3 linked regions of the Sus scrofa genome follow. The main gene of each other region encodes a partner of the protein of the gene in region 2 in a complex. Links are inferred from orthologs where the notes say so. Each region holds a gene or a part of one and is shown on either strand. Other genes may lie near its edges.

Evidence for each region.
Region 1: the proteins of CLOCK (region 2) and CIPC are in contact, whole or in part, in a crystal structure (PDB 5VJI), measured with the Mus musculus proteins. The link is inferred for Sus scrofa from reciprocal best matches to the Homo sapiens genes CLOCK and CIPC. Residues at the interface, in NP_001276755.1 of Mus musculus: Gln519, Leu526, Lys527, Leu530, Arg533, Ile537, Asn540, Ile541, Arg543, Gln544, Glu547, Leu548, Ile551, Gln554, Leu555, Val558; in XP_006515773.1 of Mus musculus: Asn401, Thr402, Val405, Leu406, Ser409, Leu411, Ile414, Thr415, Thr418, Leu421, Ile422, Asn425, Thr428, Gln429, Leu432, Leu435, Lys436, Thr439, Gln440, Phe442, Ile443, Thr446.
Region 3: the proteins of CLOCK (region 2) and ARNTL are in contact, whole or in part, in a crystal structure (PDB 4F3L), measured with the Mus musculus proteins. The link is inferred for Sus scrofa from reciprocal best matches to the Homo sapiens genes CLOCK and BMAL1. Residues at the interface, in NP_001276755.1 of Mus musculus: Arg46, Gln49, Phe50, Leu53, Ile54, Glu56, Leu57, Met60, Leu61, Pro62, Lys70, Ser71, Leu74, Gln75, Ser77, Ile78, Phe80, Leu81, Arg82, His84, Lys85, Thr88, Glu95, Ile96, Gln98, Asp99, Trp100, Pro102, Phe104, Leu105; in XP_030097882.1 of Mus musculus: Lys70, Met71, Phe74, Ile75, Glu77, Leu78, Ser80, Leu81, Val82, Asp93, Leu95, Leu98, Arg99, Ala101, Val102, His104, Met105, Lys106, Leu108, Arg109, Gly110, Ala118, Tyr120, Lys121, Pro122, Phe124, Leu125, Asp127, Asp128, Glu129.

The regions. Positions count from the first base shown.
Region 1 is NC_010449.5:100,190,338-100,193,988, reverse strand, and holds part of CIPC (CLOCK-interacting pacemaker), read right to left. Parts: intron 3,238-3,651; coding exon 3,068-3,237; intron 1-3,067.
Region 2 is NC_010450.4:54,805,692-54,809,342, forward strand, and holds part of CLOCK (circadian locomoter output cycles protein kaput), read right to left. Parts: intron 3,539-3,651; coding exon 3,449-3,538; intron 676-3,448; coding exon 523-675; intron 1-522. UniProt on the Homo sapiens protein: Transcriptional activator which forms a core component of the circadian clock.
Region 3 is NC_010444.4:45,934,528-45,938,178, reverse strand, and holds part of ARNTL (aryl hydrocarbon receptor nuclear translocator-like protein 1), read left to right. Parts: intron 1-39; coding exon 40-81; intron 82-1,667; coding exon 1,668-1,825; intron 1,826-3,597; coding exon 3,598-3,651. UniProt on the Homo sapiens protein: Transcriptional activator which forms a core component of the circadian clock.

The sequences.
Region 1 (3,651 bases), on a different chromosome or scaffold from region 2:
AAGTTCAAATGTGCTAGGAGTTCCCATTGAGGCTCAGGGGAAACAAATCTGACTAGCATCCATGAGGACGCAGGTTCGATCCCTGGCCTCACTCAGTGGGTTAAGGATCTGGCATTGCCGTGAGCTGTGGTGTAGGTTGCAGATGCAGCTCAGATCTGGCATTGCTTTAGCTGTGGTGTAGGCCAGCGGCTATAGCTCCAATTCGACCCCTAGCCTGGGAACCTCCATATGCCATGGGTGCGGCTCTAAAAAGACAAAAAAATAAAAAAAAATTTTTAAAAAGGTTCACATGTGCTGATCTCGACACTATAAATGTGACTTTACATCAAAGTCTATCTTCATTTAGTTACATCTGGAACCTGTTTTTAAAGCAATGACGCCCAACAACCACAACGCTCTCCAAGGCACGAAATGCCGCCATGTATGGGTGCTGACTACAGGCCGACGCTGTGTGGCACTTCACATGGGTTGTCTCATTTAATCTCCATAATGACCCCATGAGGTGGTTGTCATTTCCCTCCACAAACAGGAAACTGAGGTTTAGAAGGTTGAACTAACTTGCTTTCAGTCCCCAAGCTACTTTATGTAAGGAAGCTAGGATTCCATCCTCTGACGCTAAAACCCAGCCTGACTATTCCACTACACCGCTTTTGTTGTACTCCTCCATTATAATTTTAATGTTTAATTAACGATTCACACAGAAATCTAATAAAGAAGGGCATGGCTATCTGTCTCGAAAATTTCAAAGCCAATCCAATTCCAACCTGGGCCCAAAGACCTGAGTGCAGATGAGGCTGGGCAGAGAGAGCCTGACAGAGGTTCTTACCTTTGGAGAAGTCACGTGATTTGTCTGAGGAAAGCGAAGGACGATGCTCCCTCACAGGCACACTCATTTGCATACATTTCAGCTTCTTGGATACCTGGCTAGGATCTTTAAGCCAAGATCTACTATAGTTCATCTCCTGTGCAAAGGCTGGGATGACCTGAAGAGTGCATCCTGGAGCCCTCTTGGTGTTCAAACACACCCTGCGATGTACACAGGCAAGCAGTGCCAGGCCCGGCAACCGCACTCCCCCGTCAGAGGACACAGAGAGTCAGAGGTCAGTCCAGGAACGTCAGCCTGGTTCAGCTCAGTCAGAAGCTAAACTTCAGACTGTCCCTAGTCACTCGTGCCTTAAGAGGTGACCTACCAGGCAAATGGATCCAGAAAAGACCTAATTCATTGCTTTTCCAAAATGATTTCACTGGATTGCTCCTCTAAGGCTGCGGCTATGCCTACTCAAGACACTCAGCTTATTTATTCTCATTTTTAGCTTTTACAGTGTATCATTCTTGTTGAGATCACCTGAGGGAATACCAGACAAGACTTTAGACTTGAATAGGATCTCAGAATCATTTCACCTAAGATCTCATGCTAAAGATGAGGAAACTGAAGTCCACAGTGATTAAGTAATTGTGTGTAAGATCACATAGTGTGGTGGTAGAACTGGAATTACACCCTCAAAAGAAAAATACCTAAAACCAAGGCAGCAATAATTAAGACATGACACAAAAGTATTTAATTCTTTTAAATTTGGAATGTGCTGGAGTCTAGCCCATGTGAAAAATAACTAAGCTCCTAGATGGCTCCCTTAGGTCAGTCTGCTCCCATGTGTCCTGTCCCCTGATCAAGCCCAGTGGCCTCCCCAGTGGCTCTCTCTCCTAAAGATGACGCCTTCACTGGGGCCGCCTACACCCTCTGCATGTGGGCTGTTCCCAGGCCTCTGCAGCTGCCAGCCTTGCCCATGACAAACAAAGACGCCCAAGAAAAAGTGGCCAGGGGCCAGAGAGGAAGGCAGGGAGGAAAGAGCAGGAGACGGAAGCCCTGAGAAGCACCACGGCCCTGGTGGGGCCTGGACAATCTCATTTGGGTTCCATTTCATGTTTTTATTCTCTAGCCTCAGCGCAGTGAGGGGAGCTGTGCTTCCAGCTGAGAGGTGATTTGCCAAGCAAATACCTTTAAATTCTTCTTCCAAACTCACCAGGCTGCCTTGTCAAAAATCAGTTTGTGTTCCTCAGCAAAAAACTAAGTAATAGTTAAGACGTTAAGGTTTCTTGTCAGGCTGCAGCCATGTTCTTCTGAGGCAGGCAGGTCAACCACATAAAGCCAGATTTCAAACTTACTAGCTTCGAGCAGCCTCGAGCAAAGGGGGGTTAAGGTTACATGCTCTTTAACCAAGTTCATATATATGATTGAGATCTCTGTTTCAAACACTGGGGCTTAGCTTAGATCTTCACCTAAATCTTTTCTTTCATATCTAGGCAATAATCACATAATTTGCATAGTTATGGTGCTTTTTCTTCTTCTCTCTCTTTTTTGCAGCACTCAAGGCATGTGGAAGTTCTTGGGCCAGGGATCAAACCTGTGCCACAGCAGTGACCTGAGCCACTGTGGTGACAATGCTGAATCCTTAAGCTGCTGTGCCACATGGCAACTCCAATTTGCATAGTGATGTAATCAAGCCTGAAACAGGGTATGTTCCAACTCCACAGCAATGCCACGTGGGCTCTGCTGGTAGAGCCATACCTAAACCAAAGAGCCGCTTTCTCACTAATGACATAGCTTTGGCTGATTACTAGAAAATGCTCAGAATGCAACATGAGAAATTGTTCTACTGCTTCTATAGAGTAGAAATTGCTTCTATTTCCCAAATATTTCTAAATTCCCAGGGCAATTCAAATTAAAAGGAGATCCTCTTGTTCCTGCCCTAAATTCTGCCACATATTAGAATGCACAACAGAGGTTAGACATTTCTGCCTGGTTCCTTTAAATATGACTAAAGAATTCCAGATCACTTTGGACACACTGGGGATGTGGAAATACAATAGTCTTTCGGTCTGGAAAATGAGAACACGTGTCACGACTCTCATAATCCAAGGGCACGTCCTCCTCCCAGGACAGAAACGCAGTGGGTGCGGTCCTGGTGCCCTGCTTCTCACCTCTCTCCCTGGCAGAGGGAGAGGCTCTGGACACAGGCAGCTCAGAGACTCTAGTCTGAAGAAGTCAGGAGAGATGAGCCCTCCTCACCTGTTTGACCAGCACGTTCTTCATGACAACCATGGGGGACAGCGTCGGGAAGGCAGCGCTCACAGGCTTGGAGCTCGGCCTCGGCCGGTCCTCTGGGCTCCAGCCTAAGGCGCCCAGCACGTCCTCGGACTCCATCTGCTCTGCCGAGCTCAGGCATTCTGAGCTCCCATCTGGTGGCAGAAGAAGAGTCAGGTCACTTGGGCTCTTAACCAGTCCTGGGGAGTCATGGACCCCCTTTCAATGGACCAGAACACTTGCGATATATGTTGTCGTGAATTTTTCTGAGAAGGTCTTTAGCTTTCATTGGATTCTCAATGGATCCATAATTATCCTCCCACCCCCGAAAGGTTCCGAACCACCACCTTAGGACAGTAGACTTCCTTTCTAACTCCCCTCCAGACCCGGGTTCCTGTGAAAGTTACCATCCCGTCTGCAGCAAGGATGGGTGAAGGCTTCAAAACTAGCACAGCACCTTCAAGAATGTGTTGCTGAAAGGGGAGAGGAGTGTGTGTGTGTGACCTGGGGCAGGAGTAAGACCTTTAGAGGCTGGGAGCACCACATGATATGACAATAAAAACAAAGCC
Region 2 (3,651 bases):
GTCTGCAGACAGGGGTGGGGGACTCGGCATCATTCATCACTAAAAAAGCATGGCATTAAACAGGAGTAGTTTTCACTTCAAGTTTCCTTTTACCAAATTCCTAGTCTCTTCAGATAAGCATAACTTTAGAGTGGCCCTGCTGCTGGACCAAAGAGACTAATTTGAATCATTCCTACTGGCATGTTATTGTAAAAAGACTGAAGACTATTTTGTAAATTCGGTAGCTACATGTACCTAAAAGTCTATGTAACATATTATTTTGCTATTATGGATTTAAACTTACTAAAAATGCAACTGAGATGACTTTAACATGGAGAAACAAGGATGTGGATGGAGACACTCTCAGAATGAATTATCTTTCGAGACTGTAAATGCAAAATCATACTGAGTATAACCAATAAGTATTTATGGAACTAAACTGATGAAATGTATCTTTGGCACCACGTGTTTCATTAAACAAGACTGTTTCCTATGAATCTAAAATGTGACAGCATGCTTTGCTTGTATTCAAATATAACCAACCTGCAGCCCTTGACCATGGACCATTTGAAGTTGTTCCTGAATTTTTCTTAATTCTTCTTGTTGCCGATGAATATTTGCCTCTATCATCCGTGTCCGTTGCTCCAACTGGTCTTTCAGATGCTGCATGGCTCCTAACTGAGCTGAGAACTGAAACTGAAGTATTGTGAATGGAAAGTGTAAAATCTCTGAGAAGCACTTCTCCCAGTTGTACACGGTGAAGCTAAGCAGTGTATCGTGAGATAAGAATGTTTTGCCACTTATTCATGTACTGCCTCTCAGCTCCTAAGTCACCTCTTGGCTCGGCTTTGGGACACTGGATTGGACCCTGTAAGTACAAGCAGTCCCATCAGCAGAAGATGCTGAGGGATGCCGCAAATGAGGTGCTCGTCTTTCTGGTCCTGCTGCTCTCCTTCCAGCTCTTACACCACGGGGCGCGCCCTACAGAGAATCAGCTGCGCTCCAGCCTCACTAGCATCGTAGTGGGTGGCTTCTCGGCAGGTGGTCCCACTCTCCAGCCCTGGTCCATGCACCTCAGTCAGAGTGTCTATCATCCAGTGGCTCCAGCCACAGCGGCCCCAGTAGGGCCTGATCCTCAGCCTGGCCTGGCCTGACCTGGAGGAGCAGCAGTTTAGGGGGGGCCTCCCAAGCTGCTCCTCCTTGGCTGCTCTCTACACCCAGCATCCCTACGGTCTTCAAAACTCAGAATAAAAATCTGACAGATAACCAAGCATAATATTTTTATCCTTCTTTTCACCTGAAACTGTTCTCAGACAAGTATGAAACCTAGGCTTTTTAAGACTAAGCAATTATAAATGAATGAATGCATCTGTGAATGAAAAGCACAGTTATTCTATTTCCAGAGTAAGAAAAGGTTTTCAATCTTACTAATTTGTTTCACCTGCATTCTAGGTAGCTCATTTACTACTGCTTGAAATCTAGCTACACTTGGTGACTCACCATTTCTTAAGTCTCTCTCTCTCTCTCTATATATATATATATACACACGTATGTGTAAGTTCATTTACTTATTTCCAGGAATATTCAGTACAGGATACAGTGTAAGAGCAGAAAGAATTTCACTTTATTAGAAATCTGTCTAAATCTTGAAACTGTCTCCTACAATGCATCCAAAAGTGACAAATGCCCCTCAAAAGCTTTTTTATTACTTATCTTCAAAAGTTTGCACTGAGAATAGTGAATATTACTTTTCAAAGAATATAACTCAGGGAGTTCCCCTTGTGGCGCAGCGGAAACAAATCCGACTAGCATCCATGAGAATGCAGGTTCGATCCGTGGCCTCACTCAGTGGGTTAAGGATCTGGTGTTGCTATAGCTGTGGTGTAGGCCGGCAGCTGCAGCTCCAATTCAACCCCGGCCTAGGAACTTCCATATGTCATGGGTGCAGCCCTAAAAAGAAAACACAAAAACAAAGAATACAACTCTGACTTATGAAGATGACAGTAATCAGATCATATGTTAGAGTATACTGGGTGTGAGAAAATATTACAAATTATATTTATGCTATACTAATATAGTTTATCCTAACTAAAGTTATTTATATCTTTAGGTAAACATTCCACTGTCACCATTGAAAGGATTTCTACTAAGTGCAAATAAGAAAATAAAAATAAACACAGAATACAGAATGTTAAGAAAATCATAGAGCTAAGAAGCAAAGTGCTTGGCTTGTCATTGAAAGAAATATGAAACTTGAAACTTAACATTTTGACACAACAGATACTGTTTATTTCATGAATATATATGTTAAGAAATTCTTATTCAATATCTGTTTAGAAATTCTTATTCAGTATCTTGAGATTAATGAACTAATAATACTGAAAATATATCAAATATTTACATTAAAATCTGTTACATTTCAGAATAGAAAGCATTTGAGGACTCAATAAATAGCTGATAAAAACTACTGCAACTCCAATAACACTGTCTTCTTATAAATACCTCATACAATCATATGTTGTTAGAAGTTGAGATTATGACATTTAGGTAATTTATAACATTGTCGATATACTTGTATAAGTGTCATAATATATACTAGCTATAATTATACATGTATAATTTAAATAATCATATAAGAAAAAGGTATTTTTAGAAAAATATTGTTTTTACCTATTGTTAACTATCACTATTTGAAACGAAGATACTGTTAAAGTTAATTTAAGATTATTTTTAGTACAACTTATTAGTATTTTTAACATGTCTAAGGTTCTGAATGAGTGAAGAATCATAAATTAAAAGTCACAACGTTATAATCAAACATGTGGCTTCTGTAATACCTCCCCTCTGTCATGCTAGTTTTTGTATTGAGGCCTCCTGTGGGACTCAGTTCCAGCAACAATTCCTCCAGAAAGTCCTCTTTCACTTCTTTAGGCCACATGAAGTATCCATCTAACATGCTCTTATCTCAGTCTTTTATCTTGAACTGACTGTGTAACACTGTATTCTAGTTGTCATTTTACCTCTAGATAATAATAAAGTCTCTTAGTAGAGATAAATTTGTACCGCCAGCACCTGTGATATCTGCTAATACAAGGAACTCAATAAATGTCCTGGATATGAACAAATGAAAAAGTACATAAATAAAATTACTCACTTCTTCCAACACCCACAGGAAGAACCAAATGAACAGCTGTATTTCACCTTTAACAGCTTACCGTCTACAGTGTTTCTCAGCAGGGATTAAGCAAGACAATTCTGTGTTGTGCACAGCTGTCATGCACCCTCAAAGACAGCATTCCTGGCCCTTGCCTACGAAAGGGCCAGTGATACCCTAACCTCACTCAGAAATATCCCCAGGTAGTCTAAATGCCCACAGGTGAGATTTACTGCATCTGTATTTTTAAAAATCTCTAGTAGCTTAAAAACAATTTGAAATTTTAAAATACTTAACTGAAACAAACAAAAATACCTGAGAGATGCCTTGTGGAACTGATACATTTGCAGCTTGAGACATCACTGGCTGTGTTAATGATTGACCAACAGACTGGGAATTTAGGGACTAGAAGCAAAATAAAAAATGATTGGGGTGACAATCACTCCCGCACACGACCACTTGCACCAGAAGCATCACCACGGCGTCTTACAAGCGAATCCCAAGCAGCCCACGCCTTT
Region 3 (3,651 bases), on a different chromosome or scaffold from region 2:
TCCAGGGGATTGTGTGTTTACCCTTTTATTTTCTTCCAGGTTAGAGTACACAGAGCACCAAGGAAGGATCAAAAATGCCAGGTAAGCTTGGACCCTCCCTCTGTCTATGAACTGTCTTGCTTTGGAATTTTTTGGCGGAGTGAGGGGGGGCAGCATATGGAGGTTCCCAGGCTAGGGGTCTAATCTGAGCTGTAGCCGCTGGCCGCAGCCACAGCCACACCAGATCCGAGCCATGTCTGTGATCTGCACCACAGCTCACGGCAATGCCGGATCCTTAACCCACTGAGCAAGGCCAGGGATTGAACACGCAACCTCATGGTTACTGGTCAGGTTCATTAACCACTGCGCCATGATGGGAACGCCTGCTTTGGTTTCTTAGAGTGCAGTCTAAGAGGCTATGTCTGTCTGGTTCCTGTCTACCTAACATCGTTCGACACAATTGTCATGTCCTTAGGGAATGAAGAACGGGATGGGGGCCTGGGCTTGATATGACCTTCTGCCCTTCGCATCACTCTTTGCTGTCTAAGCACATTTAACCCGAAAGGGACTTTGGAGGTAGTGGAAGATAAATAAGGGCTAAAAATTTTCCCCATCCTTAGTATGTTCCTCCTTCCTAACTCTTGGGGGAGACCCAGCTCAGGGAGTCAGTTACCGGGCTCTGCCTTGCCTCTGAAAGGGCTCTGATGGCTCTGCCAGGCGCTGCTGAAGGTCAGACCCTGGGGTGGGGTGGGGGCTGCTCCCTCAAGTAGATTCTCTTACTTGGTCCTTCCTGCCTCCATCCACACTTGCTGACTCCTTTCCATGTGGGTCCTCAGCCTTCCTGCCATTAGCCCCAGGGCCATCTGAGCGTGTATCCTGACAAAGAACCAGGGGCTGCAGAATTCGACGGTCCTGACATTTGTGGCTTTTCCCTCACGGACCAGCTTTGGCAAGAGATCCCGTGGTCCTCTTGCTATGGCAGAGGCAACAAACTGTGTTTGCACTGTTGACACTCCTCTTTAGGGGGACAGTCACAAGTAGCAGGTGCAGACCAGTCGGGGAGAGAGTATGGGCCAGTGGCATTGTCATCCTGCTTCAGTGGGCAGCAGCTCCTGGGAGGGAGGCATGTGACATTCTTCAGCGGCAGCTCCTGGGGACAGAGGTAGCATCTGCTGCATCTAGGTGGGGTCATGGCTGATCCAAGACGACAGCATTAGTTACGTGACTCCTCAGTAAGTCTCCGACAGGCCACACAGCTGACTCCCCACAAACCCCAGGGACCGCTCCGCATGAGGCCCTCACGGATGTCTGTTCTGGATGCTTTGCTCCTTGAAACCTCCACCTTCCTTCAACCCCATCTTAAAATCCAACTTTATAGAGGCCGAGAGGAAAAGAAATGAGGAATGAGCAATTTGGTTTTCTCTGAAAAGACCTTTTTTGTAATATTTCTCAGTTCTAAGGATGAGGTCAGCATTAAAAAAACACAGAAACCCCAAAAAACTAACAGTGACCTGACAGTGGGGCCACGCTTTTTGGTAACTTTAGTAGAAAAGTCTAGTTTGAAGCACTCTGCAATTCTAATTTCGCCTTATCAGATGAATATTGAAAACAGTTGTAACTTATTTCATCATCATTTCCTTGATGCTCTGTTACATTTTACAGAAATCATTTTTCATATTGTTGTTCAGGGAAGCTCACAGTCAGATTGAAAAGAGGCGTCGGGATAAGATGAACAGTTTCATCGACGAACTGGCTTCTTTGGTACCAACGTGCAACGCGATGTCCAGGAAATTAGATAAACTTACTGTGCTAAGGATGGCCGTTCAGCACATGAAAACGTTACGAGGTGAGATTCCGAGCTTTCTTGTCCTTTCTGCTTCTGCTCACAGATGTTACCCTCCCTACCTAGAATTTTTCCGAGTCTCTAAGGCAAGTGTTTCTAGCCTGGAGTGATATGCCTGTCATTTTCAGTGAGAGGCGTGATGCCAGATGAGGCGATTATTGAGCTTGCGTGAATATCAAGATACAGCTTTGCCCTCCTGCATCCCCAGAGGGTGGGACTGTGTCCTGTGTGCCTGTCTGTGCACATAACTGGGCAACATACATAACCCAGGGGATGCTCTAAAGTCCTACCTTGCATGTATGTGGTGCCTGGACCCCAGCCCCTCACAGTGATAAACATCAGAAATGTAGGTGCATGTAGTGACAGAGAAAAGTCAGTTTCAGTTTTTAAAGGAAAAATTCATCTTGGTTTCTTTTGAAGAGTGAGTCACTGGTTGATGGCTCTTGCTGCATTTTATTGTCAGGAATGAACACGGGTGATATTTTCGTCTTCCTGGAATTTTCCCAAACCAGATCAAGTCTTTATGAGGGAGGCAGTGTTTTCCTTCTTTTCTGAGTGCGGGGAGGGTAAAAAAAAAAAAAAAAAAAAAAAACAGAGACAGAAATGTGGAAGTGGCTTACCCAAACCACAGGAGAAATCTGAACCGTATCAGGCATTTTATGTGAATGCTGTTCCTGGAATTTTCCACAGCTAGTCTTGGACTGTTTGAGGAAATTGGAAAGTGGGCGCTCAACTCAGATCTCAGACCTGCGTGGTACGAGAATTACATCTTTATACTTCTGCAGAGCCACCAGAAATGAGAAGTAGCTGGTTTTATCTGACTTTTGGTCATCATTCTGAACTATAAATGTTATATCCTGTGCTTGGAGAAGGGCATTTTAAAATTCATATTCATGAAGATGATAGAGATGAAATCACTGTAACTAATGTCTATTACATTAAAAGGAAAAGAGGGGCAGATCTCAAGTTATCCTAAAAAGCAGGGCTGGGGATCAGTACTATGCGCCTTGTTAGTTGATAGGAAAGTCACAGCCACAGTCTGTTTCCCTCCTTCCCAGTGGTACTTGGAATTGTTATGGATCATTTCATTTCTTCATGGTTCCACTAACTCTTTACAGATGCCAAGTCACTGAACGCTGGCATCTTTCTTTTCTAAGTTACCATTCTCCTAAAGGACGCCAGATTGACAGCCTTTTAAACATAAGTCTTGCGCCCTTTCAGTCTTGGGAGCTCAAGTTGCATTTACTGAAGGAATGCTTTTCTCCGGGTTGCCAAGCTCATTTAACACAACCCCGATGAAGAGGAACTCACAGTAAATGCTTCTACAGCGTATTTACTCAGGGCCTGGCAGACTGGATGATTTCCCAAGAACATTTAGAGTGGTGATTTGAGCACCCGCTAGACAACCCATTTAATATAGATCTGGGGAGGAGGGAACCACACGGGAGCCTCTACCAGTTTGCTCCTAGAGCTGCCTTCTCTCTTCAGAGCAGGCTTTTAACTTCTGTCAGCTCCTGATTTTCGACATAGCAACAAAAGCAAGCTTCTTAAGTCTCCTGTGGGGGAATGATATTTGCTTTTCAGTGGAATTCTCTTTGGCATTAGAGGATGGTGTCCAAAGCCAGATCTAGCCCTGTCTCCGTTAAGGAAAAAGAAGATCACATTCAGATCCCAGGTGGTAAGGACCAGGCTGCATCTGGAGGGCCTGAGGCAGTGGAATGAGACATTATCTGCCTGTACAGCGTGCCGACTCTTTCTCTTTTTTCCCTTGTAAGGTGCCACCAATCCATACACAGAAGCAAACTACAAACCGACCTTTCTGTCAGATG